3 linked regions of the Caenorhabditis elegans genome follow. The protein of the gene in region 3 purifies or fractionates together with the protein of the main gene of each other region. This does not show direct contact. Each region holds a gene or a part of one and is shown on either strand. Other genes may lie near its edges.

Region 1 (3,757 bases), on a different chromosome or scaffold from region 3:
TGAGCATGGCCACGTAGGATAAGCAGGTTGATGGATCCTTGGAGAGAACGAATCCGATACCAATTGTAGCGTATCTCTTGACATCCAAATTTGGATCGGTGGCTACTTTCTCGAGAAGACGGCGTACTACATCTGGAGATCCGGTTCCGGCGTAAGCCATCGACAGCATACAGATTCCAGTGGAACGGAGCATTGGATTGCTCTTAGCTCCGATTGCTTCTTTGATGTAAGGCTCAGCATCTCCTTGGAGTCCGAATGCGGCACAGGCAAGTCCAGTTCGGATACCACGTTGAGTTTTGTCATGCTGTGTGTCAACAGTGTATTGCTTGAGCTCATTGAACACCTCTTGATTCAGATGTCCAGCCATGATAAGGCCCATGGCGATTCCTGCGGATTCTCCGGAAACTGCTTCATCACGTTGGAGAACTTCCCGAACTTTCTCGTAATTCGAAACAGAAGACGATCCAAGTCCAGCAACTCCAAATCCAAGACAAGCTCCGTGTCTCACTGGCTCGTTTTCGGCGGTTTTGAGCCACTGAGCCAGAGTGCTCATGGCAGTTGCATCTCCGTGTTTGGCGTGAATCAATCCATATGCCAGCATTGCTCCTCCCTCTTTAAATCCAAATCCTTCGACAGATTCCTTTGGCAAATATGGCTCAAGTACCTTCATTGCAGACGATTCTTGTCCGTGATGAATGAGTCCAAGTGAAGCGACCGCATTGAACTTGTTCCAGTTCGTAGCTTTGGAAACCCAGTTCAAGTTGTTACGGAGGAAATCGTCACAAGTAGTTCCATATTGCATAAGACCATTTGAGATGAGAAGAGCATTGTGGGCAGAGGCTGTTCGAATGTTCTCCTTGATCTCTTCCATTAGAACAGAATCAGTGTGATTATGACGGACAAAGAAGTCGAGGTAAGCCTTGACAGTTTCATGACCTTTGAGAATTGAATGAATCTTTTCCATCGACTTCTCATCACGAGCATCCTGCTGTTGGAAACGTTTCAAAACTCGATCGAGGAATCCTTGACTCGCTGTTTCATATAAATCAAATGCGATCTGATATGCACGAGTGCTGAGAGACTTCGCGATCAAACTCGTAATCGTGTCAGCAGCGGCCTCGGCGTTATCCGTGAGCACGTAACACTGAAAATGTTTATTTTGTAATTTTACTTCGATATTTGTATAAATCATACCTCGCAAATCTTGGACATGTCCGGCGATGGGCACTTCAAGTACGTCTTGATGACTGTATCGATAACTTGGAATCGGAATGAACGATCGAACGCGCCATTGACAACACGGTTGAGCGTTTCGACAAGTGTAGCTGCACAAAAAAGAATGACGTTTCAGCTTAGTTATTATTGACTTACTCTGATTCTTGATGGTCAAATCTGCAGGCATCGCGCTAATGGCCCTGTCGATCATAGCCAGATTGGTCGTCTCAAATCCTAACGAGATGACAAACCATATCTCTCGTTTATCCAGATTTCTAGCAACAATTCGGTCGATCAAATCTCGGAGTTTCTGAGGAATTCCAGATCCTTGCTTGCTCAGCGTCTTGTACGTGTCAATGGCCGTCTCGATGATCTTGTTAACATATTCTGCGTCGTTTCCAAGACCGGTTCTTGTAGCAGGAACGACGTTGAAATCACCACGAAGAGCAAACTCCAAAGCACGTTCATACTGCTCCAAGCAGAAATAAACTTTGGAGACGAGCAGTGCAGCGGATGAATGCTCTGGGAACGTGTTGTTGTCAAGGAGCTGCTCTACAGCTGGAAGGGCGTCAGCGACCTCAAACCATGTGTTCACAAGAACATCCCAATCGTTAAATGCTTTGAGAACGAGCACTTTGTCGGTCACTGCTGATTTCGGTGACTCGAGAACACGAATGAATGCGGCTGAAAATGAACAATTCACAACGTTTCTTGATAGATATTAGTTTTGATACCTGCGTTTGAAGCGCCTCCTGGCTGAGATCTCCATCTGTTCAACAATGTCAACATCTGAAAGAAATCAAAATTAAAAACAATCCGAAATGAGAGCAGCTAGGAGAAGATAGTTGCGAAGCATAGTTTATTATAAAATGTTTTTCTAGGTTATCAGAAAAACAGCTTTCTCGTCTTAAAAGACAAATTAGAAAACGTCTAAAAATAAATCAGGCGTTTTAGAAAATCATAAAATTACTCAAACACCAACAATGGATGAACCGAACGAAAAGAATGATTGCGAATGACAAATTTCGTCCAAAAACACATACATTTTCAGATAAAAGCTGACAATTTCGCGGTTTCCCGCTGTGGTCAGAATTGTCATCCTCCGCGATGTGCGTCAACTAATCGATAATTGCGCCAGCACATGGGTGTTGGCGCATTTTCTTCAAAGTTGTTTTCTTATTTTTAGACAATATTTTTCCCAGCAATTCCGATAAAAATAGCATATTTTAATTTTTAAAATCAGATAAAAGTGTATTGGTGTCTAGTTTGACCGCTCTAATGCTTAATTTTTCACTGATCGTCTCAAAGCTATGCGGTGGTTACTGTATTAAAGGCTCATTGCACATAGTTATGACATTGGTTTCAGTCTGACTTAGTTTTTGTAGTTTTCAGAGGAACATTTCCGAATTTTCTAGAACTTTCTATATCTTCGAAAAGCTTACCTTTCTGCGTGTTGGATATTTTCGGCCGAACTAATCAATAAAAGTTTATTGAATAATTTTCTTTTTCCTTTGAAAAACTAGTTTACCAATATATTCAATTAAAATTTTACGTTTTTAGGCGTTTTATGTTTCCTGGTTCAACATGGACAGTTATTGTAGAACAAATCGCCGAATACGAAGAGGTTATTGATCCAAAAGCGTTTTTTGATAAGGTAGTTATTGTAATTTGGAATATTGTAATTGAAAGAAAAATTCAGATTATCAGTCTTTGGAAGGAATATCCAAACGCTATCAGTAACAGAATTACAACTTCAGTTTCAGTGGATACAGATTCAGATTTATGGAATGAAGTTTTAAGAACATTTGAAACACATTACAAATTTTGCCCGAGAGATTGCAGCGAAATAGCTATTACGAAAATCATACACAAGGATCTCGCTAATAATAAATTCTCAGATAATGCGTTTGAAGTTTCTTACTATGAAGGTTTGTTTCGAAGTTAGTCTTCTTTTGAAATGATGTTTTTGTTTTCAGAAGAACTCCTTGTACGATTCTACCCAATTACTCTCGATGGAATGCAACACCCACATTTCGAGAGCCCGTATTCAATTGCCATTAAAATCCCAACAGATACATCCATTCAACTTCAGTTTTTGAAGCAAGCTAATTCCTCTCAAGAACATTTTGAATTTATGAAGAAACAAGCATTCAAACAATTGTACACTTGGTTGAAAGGAATTGATCTTTCAAAGTGAGAACGCTATGATTTAACAAAGTCTAAACGTTTATTGCAGATCATCTCGAAAGACAAATTCTCTACTCGACAAAGAGTCCTACATCAAGACATATCGTCATATTCGAGAGGATTATGGCAGAGGAATGATCAAAGGATGGACAGAAAACTCTAATCCACAAAAATCAATTTTCGAGGATTGTGGGATTGCTTCATATATAAATGTAAAATTTATCTATTTCAATAAAATTCCCATCTTTCAAAATATTTTTAGGAGCTTGTCAATTCTGATCTCCTACCAAAGCCGAATAAATTCGTGGATATTGGATGCGGAAATGGTCTTCTTGTTCATCTTTTGAACAAAATC
Region 2 (3,172 bases), on a different chromosome or scaffold from region 3:
AAATTTATATTAGAACCGAGCTCGGCGACGAGCGAAATCATTCTAAAAAGAAAACTGATTAAATGTAGAAGTATATACACCGATTTTCTGATTTTGACATCACCGGACTCGAATATTTTAATTGGTGTTGAAATTAATCAATAATTTCTCTGTTTTTTATTTAGAAATATCATGATTTGGAGGTTTTCCCTCCACTTTCAACAAAATTAATGATAATTCTGGTGTCGATTTACGAGAAAAGTTAAAGGCGCATGGCTGCTGCCGCCTTGAGGGTCTCGTGACGAAACACATTTTCTGTTGTTGAGAGGCGAAACATTCAGTGTTCCTAAAATTTTTTCACTGTTTTTCCTTTTCCTTGTTGAAAATGTGATCGATTTTTTCAAAATTTGATTAATTTATATTCAAAAATGTGAATCCGTTCAATTCTGTTGCACTAAAACCACCGATTTTCAAAATTGTACATTTTCAGACCTCAGTTTTAATATAATTTATTTTTTCAGTCTTTAAAACGTAACCGCACGCGATCCTTAATTCACCAAGATGGTTAGGGAAGACAGATCTACTTGGAAGGCTAACTACTTCACCAAGCTTGTCGAGCTTTTCGAGGAATACCCAAAATGCCTTCTCGTCGGCGTTGACAACGTTGGATCCAAGCAAATGCAAGAGATTCGTCAAGCCATGAGAGGTTACTATTTTTAATATTCTCAATTCCTTTAAATCGTAATTTTCAGGACATGCTGAGATCCTTATGGGAAAGAACACCATGATCCGTAAGGCTCTTCGTGGACACCTCGGAAAGAATCCATCCCTTGAGAAGTTGTTGCCACACATCGTCGAGAACGTCGGATTCGTTTTCACCAAGGAAGATCTCGGAGAAATCCGCTCCAAGCTTTTGGAAAACCGTAAAGGAGCCCCAGCCAAGGCTGGTGCCATCGCTCCATGCGACGTCAAGCTTCCACCACAGAACACTGGAATGGGACCAGAAAAGACCTCTTTCTTCCAGGCTCTTCAGATCCCAACCAAGATCGCCAGAGGTACCATCGAAATCTTGAACGACGTTAGTTTTCATTTTTAATAGTATATTGTAATGTTTTCATTTTAGGTCCATCTCATCAAGGAAGGAGATAAGGTCGGAGCTTCCGAATCTGCTCTTCTCAACATGTTGGGAGTTACTCCGTTCTCATATGGATTGGTCGTTCGCCAAGTTTACGATGATGGAACCCTCTACACTCCAGAAGTTTTGGACATGACCACCGAGGAGCTCCGCAAGCGTTTCCTTTCTGGAGTTCGCAATGTCGCTTCCGTCTCGTTGGCCGTCAACTACCCAACTCTCGCTTCCGTCGCCCACTCTTTGGCCAACGGACTTCAAAACATGTTGGGAGTTGCTGCCGTCACCGATGTCTCCTTCAAGGAGGCCGAGACCATCAAGGCCTTCATTGCCGACCCAAGCAAGTTCGCTGCTGCTGCTCCAGCTGCCGCCGCTGCCCCAGCTGCTGCTGCTCCAGCCGCCAAGAAGGAAGAGCCAAAGGAGGAATCCGACGACGACATGGGATTCGGTCTCTTCGACTAAATCCACAAGTTGTTCTGAATTTGTTGTTAATGAAATGTTATCTCCAAAAAAAGCGTTTTTAATTACTTTTCTTTGTGGTGTTATCGAACACTTAACTATATCTCTATTTTTTTGTTTCTTGTTTGAATTTTTAATCTCGTAATTTCAGTTACTGGCCCCATCCTTCAAAAATGCTGATCTACAAGGATATTTTCACCGGTAAGATTTCTTTTTCTGAAGAAGTTTTCCACACTCCTTAAGCTAGTTTGACTGTGATTGTGCATTTTAGATCGCTTCATGAGTTCGCTGCGTTTTGCTGTGAATTCATTGTTGCCCTAATTTGTATAGTCATGGGTGTCAAATTGGCGAGTTACGTGTGGTAAATGGATGACGATCAAATTTTGTTCTGTGAACTTTGCCGTAGATGTGATGCTGTTTGTTTATAGATTGATAATGATTGTCGAACAATTTCAGATGATGAGCTCTCGTCCGACTCCTTCCCAATGAAGTTGGTTGATGATCTTGTTTACGAATTCAAGGGAAAGCACGTTGTCCGCAAGGAAGGAGAGATCGTTTTGGCTGGATCCAACCCATCTGCTGAGGAAGGAGCCGAGGATGATGGATCTGACGAGCACGTCGAGCGTGGTATCGATATTGTCCTTAACCACAAGCTCGTTGAGATGAACTGCTACGAGGATGCCAGTATGTTCAAGGCATACATCAAGAAATTCATGAAGAACGTCATCGACCACATGGAGAAGAACAACCGTGATAAGGCTGATGTCGATGCCTTCAAGAAGAAGATTCAAGGATGGGTTGTCAGCCTTCTCGCCAAGGATCGCTTCAAGAACCTCGCCTTCTTCATTGGAGAGAGAGCCGCTGAGGGAGCTGAGAACGGTCAAGTCGCCATCATCGAGTACAGAGATGTTGATGGAACCGAAGTTCCAACCCTTATGCTTGTCAAGGAAGCCATCATCGAGGAGAAGTGCTAAACTTCACTGTTAAATCATTTAATGTTTTCAATGAACTATATATACTCCCCTATCACATATCGATTGCAACAAAAACATAAATTATTGTCTCTAGTACCTTGGTTAGAATGGTTTGGAACAAAAAATGTAATTTTGTAACTTGAGTTTCATGGAAAGTTCCAAATTCGATGAAGTTGTCTCGAAGTATCGGAGGATCTTGAATAGTCGTAGCATCGAATACTTTGCTTCGTCGTCTTGGGATTTGCTTGAAGATGAATGGAGAGAGTACCTGAATCTAGAATCGGTTAGAACAAAAATGTATCTAATCTAAAATTATATTCAGCTTGAAGACGTCATAGTCTTCGTAAATTCATCGGATAATCTTGTGTCAGCTGATTGCGCCTCTATTCCACATTCTCTGAGAGACTTGAAAGCAAATCTTAAACTTTTCGAATACAATAGGAAATGTGTGGAAAATCCTTCAGATCTTTGGCGTCAATGGACAGGAACCACAAGAGATGGGTTAAATGTAGTTATAATCTTGAAATTTTAAAATATAAAATTAACAATTTCAGGCATCTTTCCGTACAATATCGTCGGCGAATGGATTGGTAAGGAAGAGGATTAAAGCGAAGAAACAACACGAAATTGA
Region 3 (3,757 bases):
GAGAAAATACAAGATTATACATTTTAGCTTTAAAAATTTCATGCAAAGCTGTGTAAAACACGGTGAAAAAATTTGAAAAAAAAACTGGCTGATGGGTGTTAATTCAAATAGAAATTGCCTACTTTTTTGCCAATTTATGTTTCAGTGACGATTTGAATGTTTTATTGGTTTTTAAATATGAAATGTTCTCTATAAGGAAAGTTACTAATAATTTTCCAACAATAAGAACTCTTTCAAAAATTATCTTGAAAACATATAACAACTGAAGTTTTATTTTTATTTTTTTGTTAAATCGTTATGTTTAGTAAAAACTTTACATTTTATTTTATTTTACAGTTTATTGGTTCTTCTTGGTTTTAGTTGGAAATATTATGTTTGAAATTCATAGAAAGTCGGTCATGTTTTACTTTTTCACTAACTTTTATTAATTTTTATGTCACTAAACTAACTGTTAGTTAAATTTGTAAGTTTTAAAACTCACTGGTAACAGAAGTGGCCTTTTTAACAGTTTGAGAGCCTCGGTTGCATTTGTCGTGTTGGAGGTTGACACGTCGATATTATAAGGTAATTCACTCTCTGTGGCTTTTTTACTAACATGCTGTTGCTTAGCACCTGTCCTCCCTATGAAAATTCTCTTCCTATGGTTACTCGTTGCATGCGTTGATTGCGGGGTCTTCTGATTAAAATCCGATGCGATATGAGACCTCTCATGCCTCTCTTCATCATCTGACTGCTCTCCAAATTTTTCTACCTCTTTTGTTGAAACTTTCGGTAGTTTTGTGTCAGTCCTGTCACTTAATTCTTTAGAAATATAAACTGAATTGTCATCAGGTTTCATTTTCACTGGTATTATCGTCACTTCTTTGCTCGTACTGGGCGGTAACTTTCTCAAATATTGCTGCACACTTTTGTTTGAACCATTTTTCGCAGTTAATTTTTTCTGCATTTCTTGGCGTGTTTTCATCAGTCTTAAAAAATATTCAGAATGCTTCGGTTTTTCCGTCATTCCTTTTTGTTCTGAAAAAATGAATAATAGAAACATTTTTTAACGTAATCGAACATACGATTTTGTGAAATGAATGTTGTTGGTTTACTTCTTGTACAAAGGTTTTGATTATCTGAAAAGTTAATTTTATCATATTTGAATTTTGTCTTTAAAAAAATACAAATCGTATCCATTAACACCTACTATATGATCTGGGTAAGCTGTAAATTGATGTTATCTCTCCAGGCAATGGGGTTGAAGTTCTTGGGTATTCATTTAGATCTGAAGTTGAAAAATTATAAGATAATTGACAAAAACACTTTACTTACCTTTGCTAGTGCATTTAAAATGATTATTGATTTCCAGATCGTCGAAACTTTCATCAGCCTGAGTATATATAATATTTAGCGTTTTATTCTTTTTTTTTAAAATTAATTAGAGTTATTGCTTCCTTATAAGCCAGAAATTTCTGAATCGGGAATGTACGCAATATGTCGTGGGGGTGTTTGCACAAGGATACTACTCAATAAGTGGTAACACTGCACATCTCACTGTGATTATCGGTTCTTATTAAAAGTGTAAAGACTTGTGTTAAGTGAAAACACCAAGTTATTAGAATAGCAAATATTGCATCGAAACGTTGAAATTTTACAAAAGTTTTGACACTTACCAAGATGGAGTCGGAAATTTTAAAGAATGGTGCTAACGATGCCATTCTTATGGAGTTAAACTGAAAAAATTAAGATTTGTGTTGTTAATTATAGAAAAAAGGACGAGAATTGAAATAAAGGATGAGTGAGGAAAAAAAAGCTTGATGGACGGAAAGTAAACAAAAACTGATACACAAAAAGTTAAATAAACAAAAAGTGAATGAAAAGTTTAGTAAGTAAGTAAGTATTGTAGGTAAACGGGAACAGATGACTTTGTGGTTTTCAGACAAAACAAAACTTTTAAGGCGAGTTTTTTTAACCATTGAAATAATGAAACAATAATTTGATTTGGCTTTTTGAAATCTACCTAATTGTTGTCAATAATTAAAGTCAAGTTTAACTGACTTGCAATTTTGTTTTGGTTTGAACAATTGGCATAGTTTTAGAATGTATATTGTTAAGTGAGAACTTTCATTGAAAAACCATTTTCTCATCTCTGTAATCAAAACCAACTAATTTCATAAAAGTCATAAATTGAAGGTTATCATAATTATGAATTGATCAATTTTTGAAGCACCTTCGTGATAAAACTGACCACAAAAAAACTAAATGATATCGGCGTGTACACATGTGGTGTTAGGCCTAAAATCCGATATTTTCTTTCTTTTCGATAACTATGAGATCATTGTCGGCGGTAACGGGAAGGGTGACTAGGGGTCTTTTGCAACCTGGAATTGTGGGTGACCGGCATCGAGGATGACCGACATCGTGGGCGACCGTCGCCGTGTAAAAAAAAACGCACAAAAATGTGTTTGATGAATTGGGATTAAACATAAACTGATAAACAAATAAGCTATAACATTCGAACTACTTGGAGTATTTGAATTCGCAAATGGGAACACTACTTCTGTGCATTAAAGTAAAGTTTTCAGATAAATCAAACATTATCAACAACTGAAAACATTTTCGATTTAAAACTTTTAATGCTACTTAGCTATTAACCAAAATTTGAAAAAAATTTAACTTACTTGCCGGTCCTTGTAATTTGAAAATTAGATAGTGATGTTGAAAAATGTTCAACAGCTTTTATTTTGAAATGAAATAAAAATACTAATTCTAATAAAACAAGACATTAAAAGTTTTCAAAAAAATTTAAAGGATTGGAATCGGTCGTAATAAAATCGGTTGCATTCAAATTACAATGAGAAAACAACTTTTAGAATATATCGACAAGTACAGTTGGGTAGCCAGCATGCAAAACATCCAATACTTTCATTTTTCGATAACTATGAGATTACCGTCGACGGTAACGGGAAGGGTGACTAGGGATCCTTTGCTACCTGGCATCTTTGGTGACCGGCATCGTGGGTGACCATCGCCGGGTAAGAAAAACCTTAGAAAAGGTGCTTAAAGGTTGGATGGTAAACGTAAACTAACAAACAAGTATGCCGGGACATTAAACTAAAAACTATATTATTTGAACATAAGTTCGCCGATTTTTCAGGATATTAATAAAAAATCACATACCGGAAAAAAATTCAATCAGAATTTCTAAATGAGATTTAATTATCACCAATCACTCAAGAACCGATATTGAAACATGAGTATACTTTGTAAAAAATTTTGTTGCTCCCAATTGAGAATTAAAAAACAACAATATCGACAAATACAGTTGTGCTAGCAACAATACCTAAAAATCCAATACTTTCATTTTTTCGATAACTATTAGATCACCATCGGCGGTAACGGGAAGGGTGACCAGAGGTCTTTTGCGACCCAGCATCGTGGGTGACCGTCGCCGTGCAAGCTAGAGATGCGTTGCGGAGAAGAGAATTAGACAACGCCAGAGTTCAACACTACGAGACGAAACGACATCACTATTCAATTCTAAACTGTACGTACTAGCCACCTGCCTGGAGAACCCGTTGAAAATCGACTTGATCGATATTTGGTGAAAGGGTGAAAAGTAGGAGACACGAGAGGGGGAAAGATGTCAATGAGGACAGGGGAAACGTATTTTCGAGAAAGTTGACCTTATCGACCTTGAGCACAGATGGCTCGTAATAACAAACTGAGTGCAGCCGAAGACATAATCGGAAAAAGCAGCCGATAAAAGTTATAA

Evidence for each region.
Region 1: the proteins of dim-1 (region 3) and rpn-2 fractionate together in Caenorhabditis elegans (co-fractionation; one large-scale study listed by BioGRID). This does not show direct contact.
Region 2: the proteins of dim-1 (region 3) and tct-1 fractionate together in Caenorhabditis elegans (co-fractionation; one large-scale study listed by BioGRID). This does not show direct contact.

The regions. Positions count from the first base shown.
Region 1 is NC_003281.10:6,197,433-6,201,189, reverse strand, and holds the start of rpn-2 (26S proteasome non-ATPase regulatory subunit 1), read right to left. Parts: upstream 2,011-3,757; 5' UTR 2,005-2,010; coding exon 1,950-2,004; intron 1,900-1,949; coding exon 1,372-1,899; intron 1,326-1,371; coding exon 1,195-1,325; intron 1,145-1,194; coding exon 1-1,144. Other genes in the region: C23G10.7 (putative tRNA (uracil-O(2)-)-methyltransferase), read left to right, coding at 2,783-2,869, 2,915-3,143, 3,192-3,408, 3,452-3,614, 3,665-3,757. UniProt on the Caenorhabditis elegans protein: Acts as a regulatory subunit of the 26 proteasome which is involved in the ATP-dependent degradation of ubiquitinated proteins.
Region 2 is NC_003279.8:10,567,394-10,570,565, forward strand, and holds tct-1 (Translationally-controlled tumor protein homolog), read left to right. Parts: upstream 1-1,718; 5' UTR 1,719-1,740; coding exon 1,741-1,768; exon of another isoform or gene 1,769-2,019; intron 2,020-2,023; coding exon 2,024-2,541; 3' UTR 2,542-2,642; downstream 2,643-3,172. Other genes in the region: rplp-0 (Large ribosomal subunit protein uL10), read left to right, coding at 541-685, 732-1,057, 1,103-1,570; F25H2.12 (Methyltransferase domain-containing protein), read left to right, coding at 2,690-2,824, 2,864-3,049, 3,096-3,172. UniProt on the Caenorhabditis elegans protein: Involved in calcium binding and microtubule stabilization.
Region 3 is NC_003284.9:8,056,513-8,060,269, forward strand, and holds the start of dim-1 (Disorganized muscle protein 1), read right to left. Parts: upstream 1,709-3,757; 5' UTR 1,701-1,708; coding exon 1,656-1,700; intron 1,373-1,655; coding exon 1,315-1,372; intron 1,268-1,314; coding exon 1,190-1,267; intron 1,119-1,189; coding exon 1,065-1,118; intron 1,018-1,064; coding exon 482-1,017; intron 1-481.